2 linked regions of the Lonchura striata genome follow. The protein of the gene in region 2 purifies or fractionates together with the protein of the main gene of each other region. This does not show direct contact. Links are inferred from orthologs where the notes say so. Each region holds a gene or a part of one and is shown on either strand. Other genes may lie near its edges.

Region 1 (8,254 bases), on a different chromosome or scaffold from region 2:
GACCCTGAGGGCTGCACTTTCGCTCCTCGCATCTCCCACAGCCCTGAGTCACAGGGCTGAGCTGTCCCAGGGACACTGCACAGACAGGACCTTCCCACTTGCACAGCAGATGCACCCCCTGGCTCTGAGCTGAGTGGCTCTGAGAGGGGAAGCCCCTTCCTGTCCTGTGGCTCATCTCTGGAATGCAGCTGAGGTGCCAAGCACAGGAGCTGGTGCAGGAGCAGGGTGTCCAGCCAGGGTCGGAGCCCTGCAATGCTGTGACATCTGCAGGGGAGCCCCAGTCTGATCCCTGTGTGCTGGATGTGATGGGGGTGGCTGCTGCCATGGGCTCAGTGGGGCTGGGGGGCTCTGGCTCCTTTCCTCTGCCTCCCTGCTGGGGCAGAGATGGCCCGTGGCATTCACCACGTCAGAACGTCCGGGCTGCCCTGGCACCAGCAGCCAGCGGCTAACACAGCAGGCAGGAAAAGAACAGGGACAGGCCAAATCCAGCAGGGAGAGGAGTCTGAGCTCAATTCCTGGGTCTGCACAGCATCAGGAGCCCGAGGTGGCAGACTGTGCCCAATCAGGCGCAGTCCCTGTCCCTCAGAGGGGAGGTGGTGACTGCCAGCAGACCACCCTGCCTGGCACAAATGCCCCTCAGCTCCAAAGCACATGAAAAGAGACTCCTTTTCCTCTGAGGCACAACAAAAGCAGCCCTCCAGCTGCCCTTGGGGAAGAAGGACACACCAAAGGCACAATCCGTGGGCGGCAGGAGCGAAGCCTTTCCCTTGCCCAGTGCCTCGTGCTCCAACCTGTGGCTCAGGTCAAGAACCAAGTATTTGCTGAAATAAAAGGCAAACATAACTGCACATGGAACTGTAGGGAAAACCTGTAATGCTTAAAGCAGACACATGCTTGGAAAAATAAATATCCAACTGTGCAGCATAAAGAGCATGTTAACCCTTCCCAGCTGGCTGCCAGGTCTTAGGGCTACCAGGGCCACCTCCAGCACCGAGCTGTGGGAAGGTATCCAGTGGTGGGAGAGCCTGGGACATGGGGCAGGAAGGACGCCCAGCCACACCCACAGATCTCCACAAAACCATCACAGTTCTAGAAGCATCCTCACACCAGGGATCCCTCCCTACCTCAAGACTTGATTTTCAGATATACAAAACAACCACTGATACCCAAAAATCTGTACTGGGCTGGACCCCTTGACTGCTTTGGGAGGAGACTGGTCAAGGACGAGGACACTGGGACACAATCACAGCCTGCCATCCCAGGCAGGGACAGAGACCCATTACCCAGCCCGGGAGGGAGCTGGATTGGGTTTTCACTACGTTGCACTCCTCCAAGGAAAGCCATTGAGAGGGGAAGGACACACAATTGCCATCATGTCCAGAAGCAGAAGGTCCCTAAAGGGTCAGAAAGTTGGATTTTCAGGATGGGATGAGCATCTGCAAGCAGCCATTTCCAGCAGCCAGGATTTGGGGGGGCTCCACCTGGGGCTGGAGACAATAAGGCTGCCGGCTCAGGTTATGTTTTTAGGTGGGTAGGTAAAGAGGGAGCTCCAGTTCACCTCTGGCAGTGACCCTTCCCGCATGGCCAGGGCAGGCACCTTGTGTGCAGAACAGCCCAGACGAGGCTCCCGCCGGCTGCCTTCAGCCCGGCACCACTCGTGCCTGCACCCTGCCGGGGCAGGGGCGATTTATTTTAATCCTCTGGGAGCAACACAAGGAAAAGGCAGCAGTGCGTGCCAGCCAGCGCAGGGATTAAGGGAGGAAGTGCTCCCGAGTGGGGAAGATGGCTGCGAGCCAGAGCAGGGGGCTGCAGGGCCCTCGCTCCCGCGGCGTCCCCGCGCCGCGCGGGGGGCTCTCCGTGCGCCCCCTCCCGTGCTGGCATCCCGCTCGTCGGCACCGGAGAGCCCCGGCGGAGAAACCACCGCCTCCAGCGGCGCACCGCCCCAGCGTCCCTCCGAGCGCGACCGTGAGAGCCGCTGGGTTCACCGACTGCCCGGGTTTAAACATTGCCGGGAGGGAGCTGCCCCGGCCCGCCGCGGTCCGGGACACGGGGCAGTAACTCGGTAACCCGGGCAGAACGGGAACGGCGAGGCAGCCGTGGAGCTCCTCGGCGTCACCTGAACGCACACACGCTCTGCTCCGTCCCCACACGCGGCCAGCGGCCACCTCCACGTCTCCCGGCCCCAGAACCACAAAAAGCACAACCAAACCCCTCTGCAACCGATCCCTCCGGGTGCCGAGGGTGACCGCATCGGCGCGGCGGTCACCCGCCATCGCAGGTGTCGCCGCCGCCTCCCCGCACTCCCGGCGCCTCCGCCGTGGGCGGACGAGCGGTTCCCGGAGCCCGCACGGCGCTGGGATGCGGCGGCTCCGGGAGCCCCACCGGCGCGGACACACAAAGGGAAGCACCAGCTCTGGGACGGCGTTATTCCAGCGCCTCCATTCCCGCTGACCGCCCCGGGATCCCAGAACTGAAACACACCAAACACAGCTCCTTCTCCATTTTTCTCTGGAAGCCGCAAGGCTCCCGCTCAGCTACTTTTGGGGAATAAGGGGCCAGGCAGCGACTCGGAAAACGACCCCCGATTCCCGCCAGGCTCCCCCGCGGCCGGGAGGGGATTCGGGGTCGGGACGGTGGGGGCGGTTCCAGTCTCGGTTCGGCCGATGGACGGGGTCGGACCCGCCGCCTTCCCAAACTGCTGCCCGCCGAGCGGCTGCACCCCGGGAACGGCCCGGGGCCCCCGAGCCCCGCACACCGGACCGCCCCGCTGCCCGCAAACCCCCGGGTCCCTCAAGGCGGAGCCCCCCCCGCGCCGATGCCGCCGTCGAGCCGCCCCGCCAGGGCAACGAGGCGCACCTGGGGGGGTTCGGCCGCGACCGAGCCCCGTCCCCCGACCGAGCCCCCGGGCCAGCCCCGCGGAACACAAAGCGACGCCCCGCGGTCCCGGTGCCGCCCCCCGCGCGGAGAGCGGCGGCCGTTACTCACCGGAGCCCCGCGGGCGGCGGCGGCGGCGCGGTGCCGCCGCTCCCGGGAACAATGGAGGGGAGCCCCGGCCGGGGCGAGAGGCGCAGCCCCACCGCCGCCGCGCTCACAGCGGCCGCCCCATGGCAGCCCCGGTCCGGCCCGGCCGGCGGAGGCGGCGGGAGGCGCTCCCGGAGCCGCTGCCGGACGCGCTCCCGAAGGCGCGGCCGCCCCGACGCCGCCGCTGCCGCTGCCCGCCCGCCGCGTCCCGCCGAGCGCCCGCCGCCGCCGAACTAAGCCGCTCCCGCACCGCCCCGCCGACAGCCGCGGCTCCTCCTCCGCCTTCCTCCTCCTCCTCAGCGGCCTGATGGGGCTTGTAGTCACAGCCGGACCGCCCCCCCACCTGGAGACCCCGCTGGCCTCTCGGAGTGGCGTTCCAGACGTCCCCCGGGGCTTTGCGGGCGGTGATCGCCCCGAAGGCAGGGCAGGCTGGGCTCGGGGCAGCACAGGGATGCTGGCCGTGATGTTCCCCTCACTGCTGCATTCTTGCCCTGTGGCTCTTGCTGGCACCAGGGGAGCCTCAGGCCCCGTGGGTACCGGCTGGGGTGAGGGGCCTGCCTGCACCCCCCGTTATCCCAGTGCAACACCCGGTGTGGAGGCAGCGGGATGCGGGCAGTGCATGCAGGCAGCAGGGTGGGCACAGCTCTGGGCATCCTGGAGCCCCAGCCAGCCCCTCTGCAGAGCAAGGCCCAGGGCAGATGTTTCAGAGGTCCCAAATCATCAGCCCCAAGTCCTTCCCAGGAGCCACCACTGCTGCAGTCCCTGCCCTTCCCAGCTGTTTTCACCGAGGTTTGGAGCAGGACCATGGCATCTCTAACACAGAGCTCCCCAAAACTCTCAGCACACACTTTTGGCTTAGTCTCAGCTGGGGCCACACTCAGTTCCCAAGCCAAAAGGCAGAGTGGGATATTGTCACACCAGTAAGCCCAGCGTGACTTCTGTAGCCCCCAGTATGGAAGGCCAGCTCACAGAGCCCCAGTTTGGGCACTCAGACGAGCTCCCCCAAAGCTGGACTGGCTCAGGGTCACACGGGTGGTGCAGGGCACTCAGCCTCCATGTGGGAAGCATGTGGGAGCAGTCATGAGTCCAAGTCAGGGCATCCCAGGATGAAGACATCTCCAGTCAGCAGGGAAAGACCTGCCGAGGCAATGTGTGAGTGATTAAGTTATAAGAGGGAAGAGGACAGGATGAATTAGCCCTGTCAGTCACCGGTGTTAGATTTGAACCAAATGCTGGGCATCCATCCCCAGGAGCAGCCTCCTCCTGCTTCAGGCAACCGTTCAGCTCCCCATGCCAAGACCTGTGGAATATTTCCCTTCCAGATTGACAGATTTGTGGACAGGGAGAAGGGGGGAAGGTAACACACCTGCTGGGATGTTCTCCCAGCAAGCTGGAGATGGGAAGTATTTCAGTGATGGCAGAGCCAACTCCAGCCCTGCACAAGCACTACTCATCCAGTGTACACTTAGGGTGCAGCCACCCATCCCTAGGCCTGCCTTCCTCACTGCCCAGCAGCCAGGAGCTTTGGGCTGAAGGTGCCGAGGCTGCTGGGGAACCCACAGCTGCTGTACCCTGCTATCCATGACTCCCACTAGGCTTCTGCCCCAGACTTTTCTATGCTGTCTCCAAAACAGACCTTACGGGCTACAACCCCTCATGATGGACAGGCTCTGGGGCTGCTGGTCCTTTGGCATGGTTTTCTGCATGATTGCATCAACAGAGCACCAGTTCTTGGGCCTTTATCAATAAAGGTGCTTGGAAACAGCAGAAAATGGGGAAAACCATCCCCTGCTCCCGGGAGGCTCAAAGATCTGGCTGCATCCTTGGCCTCAGCATCACATTGGGGCTCAGCACAGAAGTGACCATGAGCTGTCACCATCTGGTGTGTGCACAAGCAAGCCCTTCAGGATGGACAGGGAGGGGGAATGACCTCCTGGAGCAGGTGGGGGTCTGCAAGGGGCATGGCTGCGCCAAGGAGCAGCAGAGACCACGGAGCAAGCCAGAGCTCACTGTGGCCCTTTCAGGGCCCCCTGCCCTGCAGGGGTTGGGGCAGTTCCTTGGCATCAGCAGCCCATGCTGGGCCCCTGCCCTTCTCCTGGACCAGGGCAGGAAGCGTGTGATGTGCAGGGCTCTTCCGTGGACACATTTGCATTGGTGGTGCAGTTTTGAGGCTTGGGAGGCCAGAGCTTGGAGAGCATTGTCATGGCTGAGGGTTTTTTCTTGTCTGAGGAGGAACAAAGGCATTTGGGAAGCAGCTTCCCTGGGACATGGATCCCAGAGCCCACAGCTTGCACAGCCTCTGGCAGACCCCCCTTCCTCCCGCAGCACACACGGGGGCTGTACCTGCTGGCCCCCACCTCTGCCCTCCCGTGGGAGCACGCACGCCCCAGCTGTGTCCCTGCACGGAGTCACACACACGTGTGCACACGTGTAGCCCCTCCAGCCCCACGTGTGCCCATCTGCACACTCAGCTCTGTCAGACTGCCCGCCTCCACTTGCCAGCCCAAGGCCACGGGGTGGTCTTCATCTTCCTCCTCCTCCTCCTCCTCATTTGCTGCCTCCACACGCCGGCTCCCAGCTGCGGCATCGGAAGCAGCAAAATCCACCGCAGGCAAAGCTGACCCGTCCCCGCAGCTGGGAGAGCAGCCCGTCCTCCCGGGCTGGGGAGAGCAGCCCGTCCTCCCGGGCTGGCTTCCCCACGTCCCCAGAGTGCCGGACTGTGAAGAGGGGGCACAGAAAGGGCTGAGCCGGCAGAGGAGAGGCCCTGCACAATAGAGCGGCTCCCCCCTGACCTTGCCTTCCCCGTGAAAGATCTGCAGCTCTCCCCTCCTCCCCACTACAAAGGGGCTCCTTTCAGCCCCTAATTCTGCATTTAGAAAACAAAAGCAGATGCATCTAGTTTAGGTTTGGAGAGGGGGAGGCAAGAGCAAATGCTGAAGAACAAAGAGCTTTCCCTGACAGATCTGACTGACAAAGACTTTGTCAGCTCCATCTCTCCCTGAAAAGGCTGGAGCCCATCAGGGTGCGGGGCTCCTGGCAGGCAGCTGGCGGCTCCCAGCCCGGCCAGGAGAGCACACGCGTGTGGGACGTGCCCCAGCCCCGCGGGGCAGAGCCGGGCGTGCACATGTGCTCACTCGCGGTCCCAGGGACGCAGCCCGGGCCTGGGGCTCGGGCAGGACACGCCTGTGTGTCCCCAGATGGGAACCAGCACCGAGGGCAGGCTGTGCCCGTGTCACCCTCTGTGCTAATTCCCAAGACATGGCTGGTGTCTTTTCCCACTCTCCGCTCACAGCCAGGGCGCAGGGTTTGCTCTGCACCCTGCAGGGATTCCAGGTGTCGCAGGGTTTGCTCTGTAGCCTGCAGGGATTCCAGGTGTCGCAGGGTTTGCTCTGTAGCCTGCAGGGATTCCAGGTGTCGCAGGGTTTGTTCTGCACCCTGCAGGGATTCCAGGTGTGTTGCCTGGCCTTGGCAAAGCGCTTCCCATCATCTGGAACATCTGGGTCACAGAGAGCGCCTGGCACGCTGCCCCAAGGCTGGCAGCTCAGCAGTGGCATGCAGGGATGGGGTTTGCTGATGCCATCTCTGAGAGAACTCGAGTCCCTCTCACAGGCCACTGTCCAGCCAAGACATTTGGACCCACACTGGCTTTTTCTTTTCTTGGTTTCCTCTCAACACCATAACCTCCCCCACCCACCACTACTTGGCTGCTCCTCTGGGAAACACATTTTTTAGGAGTCCCTGCCTGCCAAACTGCCCAAACATCATCTTCTTCTTGGAGGTGAGGACCTGTTCCAGGACCACCAGTGCTTGGGGCACCACAATTGCACTTTTAGGAGACCTGGCAGGAGCTGATGGAGCAAGCTCAGCCAGGGACAGCAGAACACCGATGCCACCCAGCCTTGCCTTCAAAGCACCCAGCCCAGCTGTTTTTGCCACTTCTTTGACATTCCTGTGGTATCTCATTTTCAATCACAGCTGATGAAAGCTCTCTGCCCCATCACAGGGCTGAGAGTCCTGACAGCCTCTGGCTGGGACAGGACAGCTCCTGATGGTCCTCACAGCTTGGGACTGACCCCTCCAGCCAGGCAGGAGCTCCACTCCCCTGCAATTGTCACATGCCGAGGGGCTCATTAAGACATCACATGATATTTTATTGTCTGCAGACAGCAGTCAAGGCAGGCAACTCCCCAGCAGTGCTTGCAGCCAGGCCAGCACCCCTGCATGTCCCCAGACTGATATCTGCCTGCCTCCCGAGGCAGAGGGACAGGGGAGATGAGGGCCAATGGTGCTCAGGGCTCTGCATCCTCACAGGCACTCCTGGCACCAAGACAAAGCCTTCCCCACACTGCCAGAGCTGCCAGGTAAAGGGCTGAGCTATCCATCCCAGAAACCTGCTGCCCGAGAGTCCTGCCAGGCTCAGCTCCCTGCCCTGGGCAGTGCAGGCAGGCAGTTACTCACTGATGGTGCATCAAAGAGCTCCTGCCCACGGGGAGGCTCTGGTTTGCTGGGAGGTGAGCAGGTGCCCCTGGAAGAGCTGCAAGGCTCACGCTCATCCTGTAGGATGATTATCTACTGCAGTCTATCTCCTGTACTGGGAGAGCTTGACTTCTGCCCCCGATTGATTTGCAGAGGGAAATTAATTATGTTTGTTTGACATTGCCCCTCTGGCACTGAGGCTGAGCTGCTGTATGAATGTCATTCTGTTCCAGCCCAGCTTGCTCGCAGGGCTGGGATGTTTAATAAGCTGTCCCAGGGGATCTCCAGCTCTTCCCATCAGTTGCCCTGGTGCTTGATGCATGCCGAGGCTTCTTGGGCTCCTTGAAAGTGCCCACACACCCAGGCAAGTTCAGAGGGCTGGAATGGAGCAGAGCATCCTTGAGCTTGCTGCCTGTGGGCTGGAGAAGGGACGGGCTCCCCTGTGGACACCTGATGGCTGCCCAGGGCAGCGACTGTCTCTAGAGCCAGGGCAGGGCCAGGACACTGCCCATCCTGTCCCCTTGGCTCCCCACCCTGAGAAATGCTCCTGATATCTTTGGATTGGCCCCAGAAGATCTCCAGGGGCAGATAAAGGTGCTGAAGTCCATCAGAGCAGCAACAGCCACCTCCTCGGCTGTTATCTTGTCTTCACAGGGGGAGGACGCTCCAGATAAGAAATGTCAGTAGTTCACAGCCTTTATAGTGATACAGGCACAAGACAAATCACTTGGGGGTTCTCCTCAGATGAGGACTCTCT
Region 2 (8,162 bases):
TTCGTTAGATAGGAAAATATTTGGCTCTGGTCAGGCCTGTATTAGGCACAAGCGCCCCTAAGCATTTATCTATATATAACAGTTAACAGTTTGGTTATGCAAATATGAAGTGTTTCCTGAGTTTCCTGAATGTTTGCCTTTTGTAAGGCTCACCTGCTCTTCTGGAGCTTTAGATGTTTGATATAATAATTCCAATGTACTGTATGGAACAGAGAATGGATGAGAAAGAATGGGGGCTAAGAAAAAGGAGAAATTAGTGGACATGACAGACAGAAGTCAAGGTAGAAATCACAAAGCAAAATCAAGTAGAAGAAAATGGAAAGGCAGCAGGGACAAAAGAGTACATCCAGAAAGTAGCTTTGCATAAGCTCGATTCACCTCTTGTATAACTGCAAACAAAAGAAATAAAAGTGGGAATACAGAGCTGCATTCCCACTTTCGTTTATTTTGCTCGCGTGTATCCGTTCCAGCACTTCTTGCACGGTGTGTGCCAGCCAGGGGAAGGAGGGGCAGAGGCAGACAGCAGCCACCTGCAGAGAACGCGAGTGTTCTCCCCTCGCTTTCCCCGCACGCCCCACGCCCAGCCGCGCAGCTGCTGCTCACTCGGGCGGTCACGAAGCGCTCTGGTCTCTGCGGCGGGCTGGGACAGCTGGTGGCACTTTCCAGCTCCATCCCCAGCAGCAGCCGAGGGGGGACATGGCATTAGAGCTGTCCGTGGGGACCGGGGTGTGCTTTGCTGCACACGAGGGTCAGCCAGGGACTACGTGGCTGCGGTGGTGCTGCGGACAAGAAAGATGATGGGGCCGCGGACAAGAAAGATGATGGGGCCGCACGGGCTGGCAGGGCTCCTCACAGGCGGCTCGAGCCGTGCGGGCTGCGGAGGTTTCTGCCTGTCTCGGATTCAGGAGTTGTTTAGGGATCTGGGGCAAACCAGTAGAACAGGCTGATGAATCCACACGCTAGGTGCCAATCTGGGTTGCTGCTTTTTTTCGGGAGTAAACAACTAGGAGCCATTGTTCATCTTCCTAACTTTCTGCAGGACACAGGTTGTAAATTACATCCAGGAACAAAAGCTTGATGGGAGTAGAACCGGGCGCTCAACTTCCCAAGGGAGTGCTTTGCCCTCCAGCCAGAAGAGCAGCTTTTCTTGCTTAAACCAGCGCAGGCTCTTCTTAGGGCTTCCCATCAGCACTCAGAGCCCACGAAAAGTGTGCAGTTCAAGATTTGCCACACTGGAGCATTTACAACCGTTGCCATTACAAAGCCTGTTTTCAGGATTGATAATGAAAATTAAATCTACTCTGAAATTGAATCCAGTCTGAAATGCAGGAAACCAGATTGCAGTCTAGAGACATAGAGGAAATATTATTAAAAATAGCATATTTTATTGATATTACGGATAAGTGGGTATGAAATCCTCCCTGCTTCCCCAAATCTGATTTTCAGCCAGTCTCACAGATCACCCGTAGTCTACACAAAACATACACAGCCATGAGCAGAACTACCTAATGACATTTTGCTTTTTTTATATTCACTAAGACCAGTTGCTGTTCAGCTCCCCATAACAAGCTTGAAATATTCACCAAGTTATGCTCATAAACTTCTTTTTTTTATTTCAAAAAATAGTATTTCTGCTGATAATAGAAAAAAATTAAAATTAGGAGATCTGTTTCTTTAGAAATTTTAAGGCTTGAGAAGACAAATGCCACTATTTTCCAGAAACAGAATTCCGTTCTACTCTTCTTTCAATTTCTTCCATTCAATAGTGAAATCAATCTCCATTTCTACTCTTTTTTTTCCATCATAAGTACAGGTTCATTCAGGTACATCCATTTTCTTGTCTGTCCACAAAATAAAATCTAAATATTCATTCTAGGGAGAGGCTGTGTCACTGAGTTCAGTGGAATTTTGTTCTTTCAATTAAGCTAGGCCAGAATTTAATCCTCTATGTGAATTCCTGCAAAAAAAACCTACTTCTTATATAGTTGTAAGCTATGCATGTTACTTTTCTAGGACTCCAATATATGTACTTCCTAGTAGGAATTTTATCAAAATTAATTAGTGCTGGCTACAGTTCACATATGTGATAAAATCACAAATGAGTTATTTTGGTGTTCCTGTGCTATATTATACCATCACAGATTCAGTATTCGCAGTATCAAAGATGTCACAGAAAAACACTCTTTTAAATTCTAGGGTTTTATCCTTTTTCAGTCTTATTGTTTCATTTTCTTTTGAAAACTTAATTCATTAATCATTTTACAAAATTTTGGTGTCAGTAGTTTAGCTTCTTGTTGCCAAGGAAGTAAGCAAATTCCGGATCTCAGATATTTAGCAGTACTGACAGGCTCAAAAGGGATGCTCTGCTGCATTTTTTCAGCTGAAGATTTGCTTCAGGATTTTTCTGTTCCTATGTAATACGGTTTTCCCAAACTAAAGGAGAAGTTACGTATTTCTCACAAAGAAATCCCCCAAACAAAACCAAAACAAACCCTGAAAAACAAACCTCCAAACCCAACAGTTTCTCCAGAATTGTACATCTGCTTTGACTAAACCTTCTGGGCAGCATTTTGCCCTGCAGCCAGGCTAAATTTGGACTGCTGCTGGCTACCTGAGACCAACATAAGCTGACCATGTTTGTGTGGGAAAACAGGAAATTTTTTGTGCCATTTTTTTGGTGGAATGCACATGTGTGTTCTAGGCTGCCATGTAGGCAGGCTGATGGCACAAAGAATGGCCAAACTCACATGTCCCATACAAACAGCTCATTAATTGTTTTTGTGATTTATCACATGAAATGATGTAAAGTTATCAATTATTTTTCTTGTGTAGATCTATCTTTTCCTTTTGCATGAGGTACTAGCACCTCCATGCTGTGGTCTAAATGTGTCTAATCTTAGCCCAGTTTTTCAGGGCAACAACCCTGAGAGTCTTTCCAAAGCAGAATACCACCCACCCTTGCTGAACACATGCAGAAATTATTGAAAAGACTGAGATGAATAACAACTAATATTTTGGTATCTAGAAAACAACCTTTACATATTCAGTTGTCAGAAGGGCTATAGAATTAGAAACTTCACACCATGAAGAGACCAGGAATTTCCACTCCTAGTTATCTAAGATTCTGCCTCTATCCCTAAAATGGATGTTATTCTCCCTTTACCTGTACCAAAGAAAACTTTTATTTTTTTTTTAATTCTGTATCATTATAAATACAGGATATTAATGGAGAGTCATTTTATGTTCATAAAAAATAGGACTCAAAATTTCCTAAATTTAAATGAAATGTTTAACTATTCTGTTTCATCCATAGGACATGAGTTTTAAAAGTAACTTAGCAGTTGAAGAAAAAGATATACTTAGTAAATTTAAAGCATTTGTTAACTGTGTGCCAGCATTTTGAAATCCCACTAATCTTTATTCATGGATTTTGATGCCAAAACATTTACAGATATAAATACACAGGATTTTACAGAACTATTTATCTTTCCACTTTAGACAATAACGTATATAGGAGATTGCTTTCTAATTGGTTTTAAAGCCATTTCTTTAAAAAAATAAAAATAGCATATTAACTAAAGAAAAGGTGTTTTATCCATAATTTCAAAGTTGCTAGCTTCATAATAAAAATATACCCTGTGTTTAAAGGAAAAATTTTTACTTTAACTTTGTCCCATCAGATATTCTAGACCTGTAGGAAAAGCCTGTTGGAACCTGTTGCTAAAAATTTGCCTGGTTGAGGAAAGGATAGCCAGCCATCTCTAAGTCAAAAGGCAAAACAAAGGCAAAGTCCTGAAAACCTCTTTATGTGACCTTCTTCTGCTTGTGGCTGGAGATACTTGTCTGTATTTTTCCACTGTTTGTGTTAACAGAGATTAAATTAATGAGAAACTTCTTTCAAGTGGGGAGATCAACAAAATGGTAATCTGATATAGGACTATTCAATCCAGATTTGGCAAGGGAAGCTGAAATCCAGGCATTTATGGCTGTTAAAGGTGAGAAGTGCTGGCTTTGGTGATCCCTGACCAACCCCTCATCCCAGGGCACAGGAACCACTGTTCCAATTCTTCAGCTCTAAGAGAAGCCAGTGCATGGAGCCACCACAGGAAATCTCCAAGGCACACAAGAGACAAGAGACAAGCCTTTTGCTTATCTACAGAGGCTTTGGGGTTTTCGCCAGAGGTTTCATGAAGAGCCAAACAAAACCACACACTGCAATGAACATATGTCCCTCAGGAACTGAGACCTTGTTTGAACCTCAAAAATCTCGTAACTTTTCATCCTGCTTCTCTGCTTTCTGAATTGGGAATAGGAGGAAAAATTCCTTCTGTACCTTATTCCATCAATAGAATAAATATCAGCCTTAGTGCTCAGCATCACTCACTTCTGGCACTGGCATTATTCACTACTTTTTGTTCATTCATTTCTCTTCTTGGAGCAGCGTGTGCAGGGACACCAAGGGTAGAACGGGCTGTGGGAAACTGAACAGCCTCAACTTACCTTCTGCATGATGTTATCCTCCAGCAGTGAACAAAAACATTGCAGAAAGCTTCACTGCAGAGCAGGCATTTTACTTGCTCTTAATAGAACCGCACAAAGAGAAAATGGCAAGATAGGAATAAATAAGCAAAATGTTTTTGGAAAATATCTAGGCTGATAAGATGCTTTACCAGGGTTTAGAAACTCGAATGCTTTTATGTTCACTTGGTTTGCAATAATGAAGAGATTTTAAAATGCAGGATGAAATGCTTATAACAAACAGTGCATTTCTGAGAGAACTCAGGAGAGATGACACAAATTTTCCTACAAGCACACTAAGTATAACTTTTGACTAGCCTAGTGTAAGAAGAGAAGGTTTAGTGGCTCTTTAAAACTCAAGTGTGCCTGCTTAGTCAGTCCTAGCTCTCCTTCCACTCCCCCTTCTTCTGCTGCTGGGTAACTTTTGTTGCAATATGGGTGTGACTTTTGATGGAGCTTCCCCCTCCCAGTTATGTCATTACTTCAGTTCCTTTGAATCAGAATAAAAAGTGCAGCAAACTTCAGACTCATTGACTGCAGGCTTAACAAGCGTTGGTGCTTTCCTTCCTTCTGCAGCTTGCAAGGATCTTTGGATTTTGCAAAACAGTTCTAAGAAAACAATGGCCAACTTCTTACGGACAATTTTTGGATTATTTTTGCTGAAGCTCTGTCTAGCAGAAACAGGTAAGATTTTTATGAATGAAAACTCTTATGATTGTTAAGTTAATGCTTCAGACAGCAAGTGTGCTTCTGCTAGATAGCTAACAGCTTTCTTGCATCTATAAACTTTACTTATTTCAAGTGTTATCAGAGATGTTTTAGAAGTGTAATCTCAGTTGTGCTGGTCTGTACAAGCACGGAAAGCTGCGTATTGCTTGTAAAGGGCAATTCCAAATATGTAAAAACTGAATTGTAGAACATTAAAGAACGAAGTTTAAATTAGGAACAGAACTCCATCAGGGAATTCGGAATGGCTCTGGTAAAGCTCAGTTTGACAATGTGACTGCTGTTCCACACGCAGTTTTTTCTCCCAGCTCCTCTTCGGACGGCAGCGAAAAGGGGGCGGAAGGAAGGGGGTGAGCCCCCACCCCCCATCCAGTTTACAGCTGCATTCTGGAGTTTACATGAGCTGAACCAACAGCTGAAACAAGCTGCATTTGGGCACAGCCTTGCTGAACAGGAGAAAAACTGCAGGGAGCTCTGCTGAAATTTGGAGAGCTTTTATGCCAAGCATGCTTGCTTCTGACTTTCTAAGGTCTCTGTGGGGCTGACTGATGAGCTTTTGGAACAAAGGGGGTTAGAAGGGACAAAGTTCAGCTGTTTATCACTTACCTTCCTGTAGCTTGGTTATCTGCTTCAAATATTTGTATTTAAGTATCTAAGGTTAATACAGAGAAAAAAATAAAAAAATTATGTCCAAAGTGACAAAAAGCTTTTGAAATTTTACATGGTGTAGGCTCAACCATGTTTTAGGGGAATGACCATACTTTTAGCAGACTCTCACTGTGACTGTAACTGCCTCGAGGCATTTTGTGGTTGGGGATAACAGTTGTGCTTCTGTATTGTTTTTGTACTCATCAGTTTCAGGAGTCTAACAAAATGCATTTTTCATGACCATCGTCACCCAGGGCCGTGTGCGTGTCTGTGTATGTACAGTAAATATGTGTCTCATTTGCTTGAGCAGCAGGGGATACTTCTGTTAATGGTTGCAGCGCTGCCAGGCTGTGAATGGGTGTGTCAGAGGGAGCAAGTTCCCAGTGCTTCTGTGATAGCTGAAGCAGCCTCATAGCTTTTCTTCCTAAAATTGTGTGTCCATTGTATCAAAATGCTCTTGCTAAGATGAGGTTTATAGGCAAAGTCTTAAGAGCAAGGACAGGGCTGCTCTAGGCAAGTAAAGTATGTCTAAGATAAGTTTAAATCCTTGGCTTGGTCCACGTCTGTGCACTGTGTAAATAACTGCTTGACTGATTTTTACTTCTATGAGCTGCCTGAAGTGTCCTAGAGAGCAGGGTCTGCACTGACTCTGGGAGTAATGTGTTTTTACAGTGAGACAGAAAGCCCCATTATTGAGCCATCAGTGTAGTTACAAAAAGTGTGTCAAGCTCCACATATGCCCTCCAGGGAAGTTTCTTTACTGGCTTAGTAAGGTACTAGAATATAGCTACAGTATATTTAAGTTGGTATACAGTACATTCCAGCATGACTTTTTAGTCAGTAATTATTTCAAAACAGCAGTTGATGGTGGTGTTTTCTATTTTTAGCCAGTGATTTTGCTGTGTATCACAGACTAATGGCTATTGATGCTGGGAAACTCCTGAACTGGAATTTTGATTCTTTTAGTACAGAATTGTACAGAATTAAAAAGGACCTGGAATTACTGTTAATGTGATTTCAGAAGGAAAAATGAGATACAGAGAAAGCTGGAAAACTTACTCATCCTGATTTCTGTGCTGTTGTGACTATACTGTCACTGATATGTTTCTTACTCATAGTGTTGACATGACTTGTTTAAGGAGTCTGGATCCCAGAGAATATAGATGCTGACATCTTGGTTAATGATGTTTTGCAGGAGATTTTCTCCTGCAAACATTATGTATTTGTAGAAATATTTTTCTTAAAGTTTTCCTTGATTAATACAAATCCTAGAATTTTGACCCCCAAACTGGAAGGGGTGGGGCGCAAGAGAAGAGAAGTAGTAGTGGTAAGCATGAAATGGAAAGAGGGACAATGAGTCTGCCTGTGGGAGGAAGGAGCTTACCTGTTAGCACTGGAGAGGTTGCCAGAGCCCATTCCAAGGTAATGCTGTGAGACAGGGCTCCTGCAGCTGCTGGTCAGTCACAGAGGAAGAGACCTGCCTGCCCCTTGGTTTACATATCTATCATGTAAATTTGTAAATAAAGTAGTTTGAAGAAGCTCTTTGTGCTAGTTTATTTTCACTCGGTCCTTGCAGTGTCTATCTTGGCAGTTTCCCAAAGCTATAAAGTAAGGAGACTTTATTAAGAGTTCACTTGAACGTTCCATCATTGTTTAGTGGAAGGGTTATGGAGCTGTCCTGGAAACACTCGCACACGCAGAGCCAACAAAGCATGGTGGGGGATTGTTTTCGAGAATTTGGAGAAATGTTTGAAGATTCTTTAGGTACTGGTGTTCACCACAATGAAGAGCCATTACCTTGAAAATAGGAAGTCGGAGAAAGGCTTAATGAGGACAGATAGCATCGGACAATTGAGGAAGAACTTTTTAAAGTAAATGCTTTTAAAACCACTGATAGCTCTAGCCAAAGTTAAACAAAATGTTCATTCATATGTGGTGTATCTTTCTTTCCAGAAGAGTTCCCATTACTTTTATAGGTCTGAATTGAAGATAGTGTGAATATTGCAGTTATTCATCTATCACCTAAACATGCATGAGGTTTGACTGTATCAAGAATGTGCCAGGAGCCAGAGACATCATGACATGCTGTGATAGACAGATACACACCAAAGAGAATCATGAGCTCATTACGCCTAAAATACTTGTTGAAAAAAATGTGATAATATTTGATAATACTAGTTCTTAATGTAGTTGACTGATAGTAAAACACCTTGTAGAAGAGCAGAGAAAAAGCAATGTAGAGTTCCTTTATAAGGAGCAGATAAATCAGT

The links.
Region 1: the proteins of CD44 (region 2) and FGFR1 purify together in Homo sapiens (affinity purification with mass spectrometry; 3 studies listed by BioGRID and IntAct, counting the BioPlex papers as one, with this or other methods). This does not show direct contact. The link is inferred for Lonchura striata from reciprocal best matches to the Homo sapiens genes CD44 and FGFR1.

Annotation. Positions count from the first base shown.
Region 1 is NC_134634.1:4,490,875-4,499,128, forward strand, and holds the start of FGFR1 (fibroblast growth factor receptor 1), read right to left. Parts: upstream 3,025-8,254; 5' UTR 2,986-3,024; intron 1-2,985. UniProt on the Homo sapiens protein: Tyrosine-protein kinase that acts as a cell-surface receptor for fibroblast growth factors and plays an essential role in the regulation of embryonic development, cell proliferation, differentiation and migration.
Region 2 is NC_134608.1:43,624,270-43,632,431, reverse strand, and holds the start of CD44 (CD44 antigen), read left to right. Parts: upstream 1-5,026; 5' UTR 5,027-5,138; coding exon 5,139-5,202; intron 5,203-8,162. UniProt on the Homo sapiens protein: Cell-surface receptor that plays a role in cell-cell interactions, cell adhesion and migration, helping them to sense and respond to changes in the tissue microenvironment.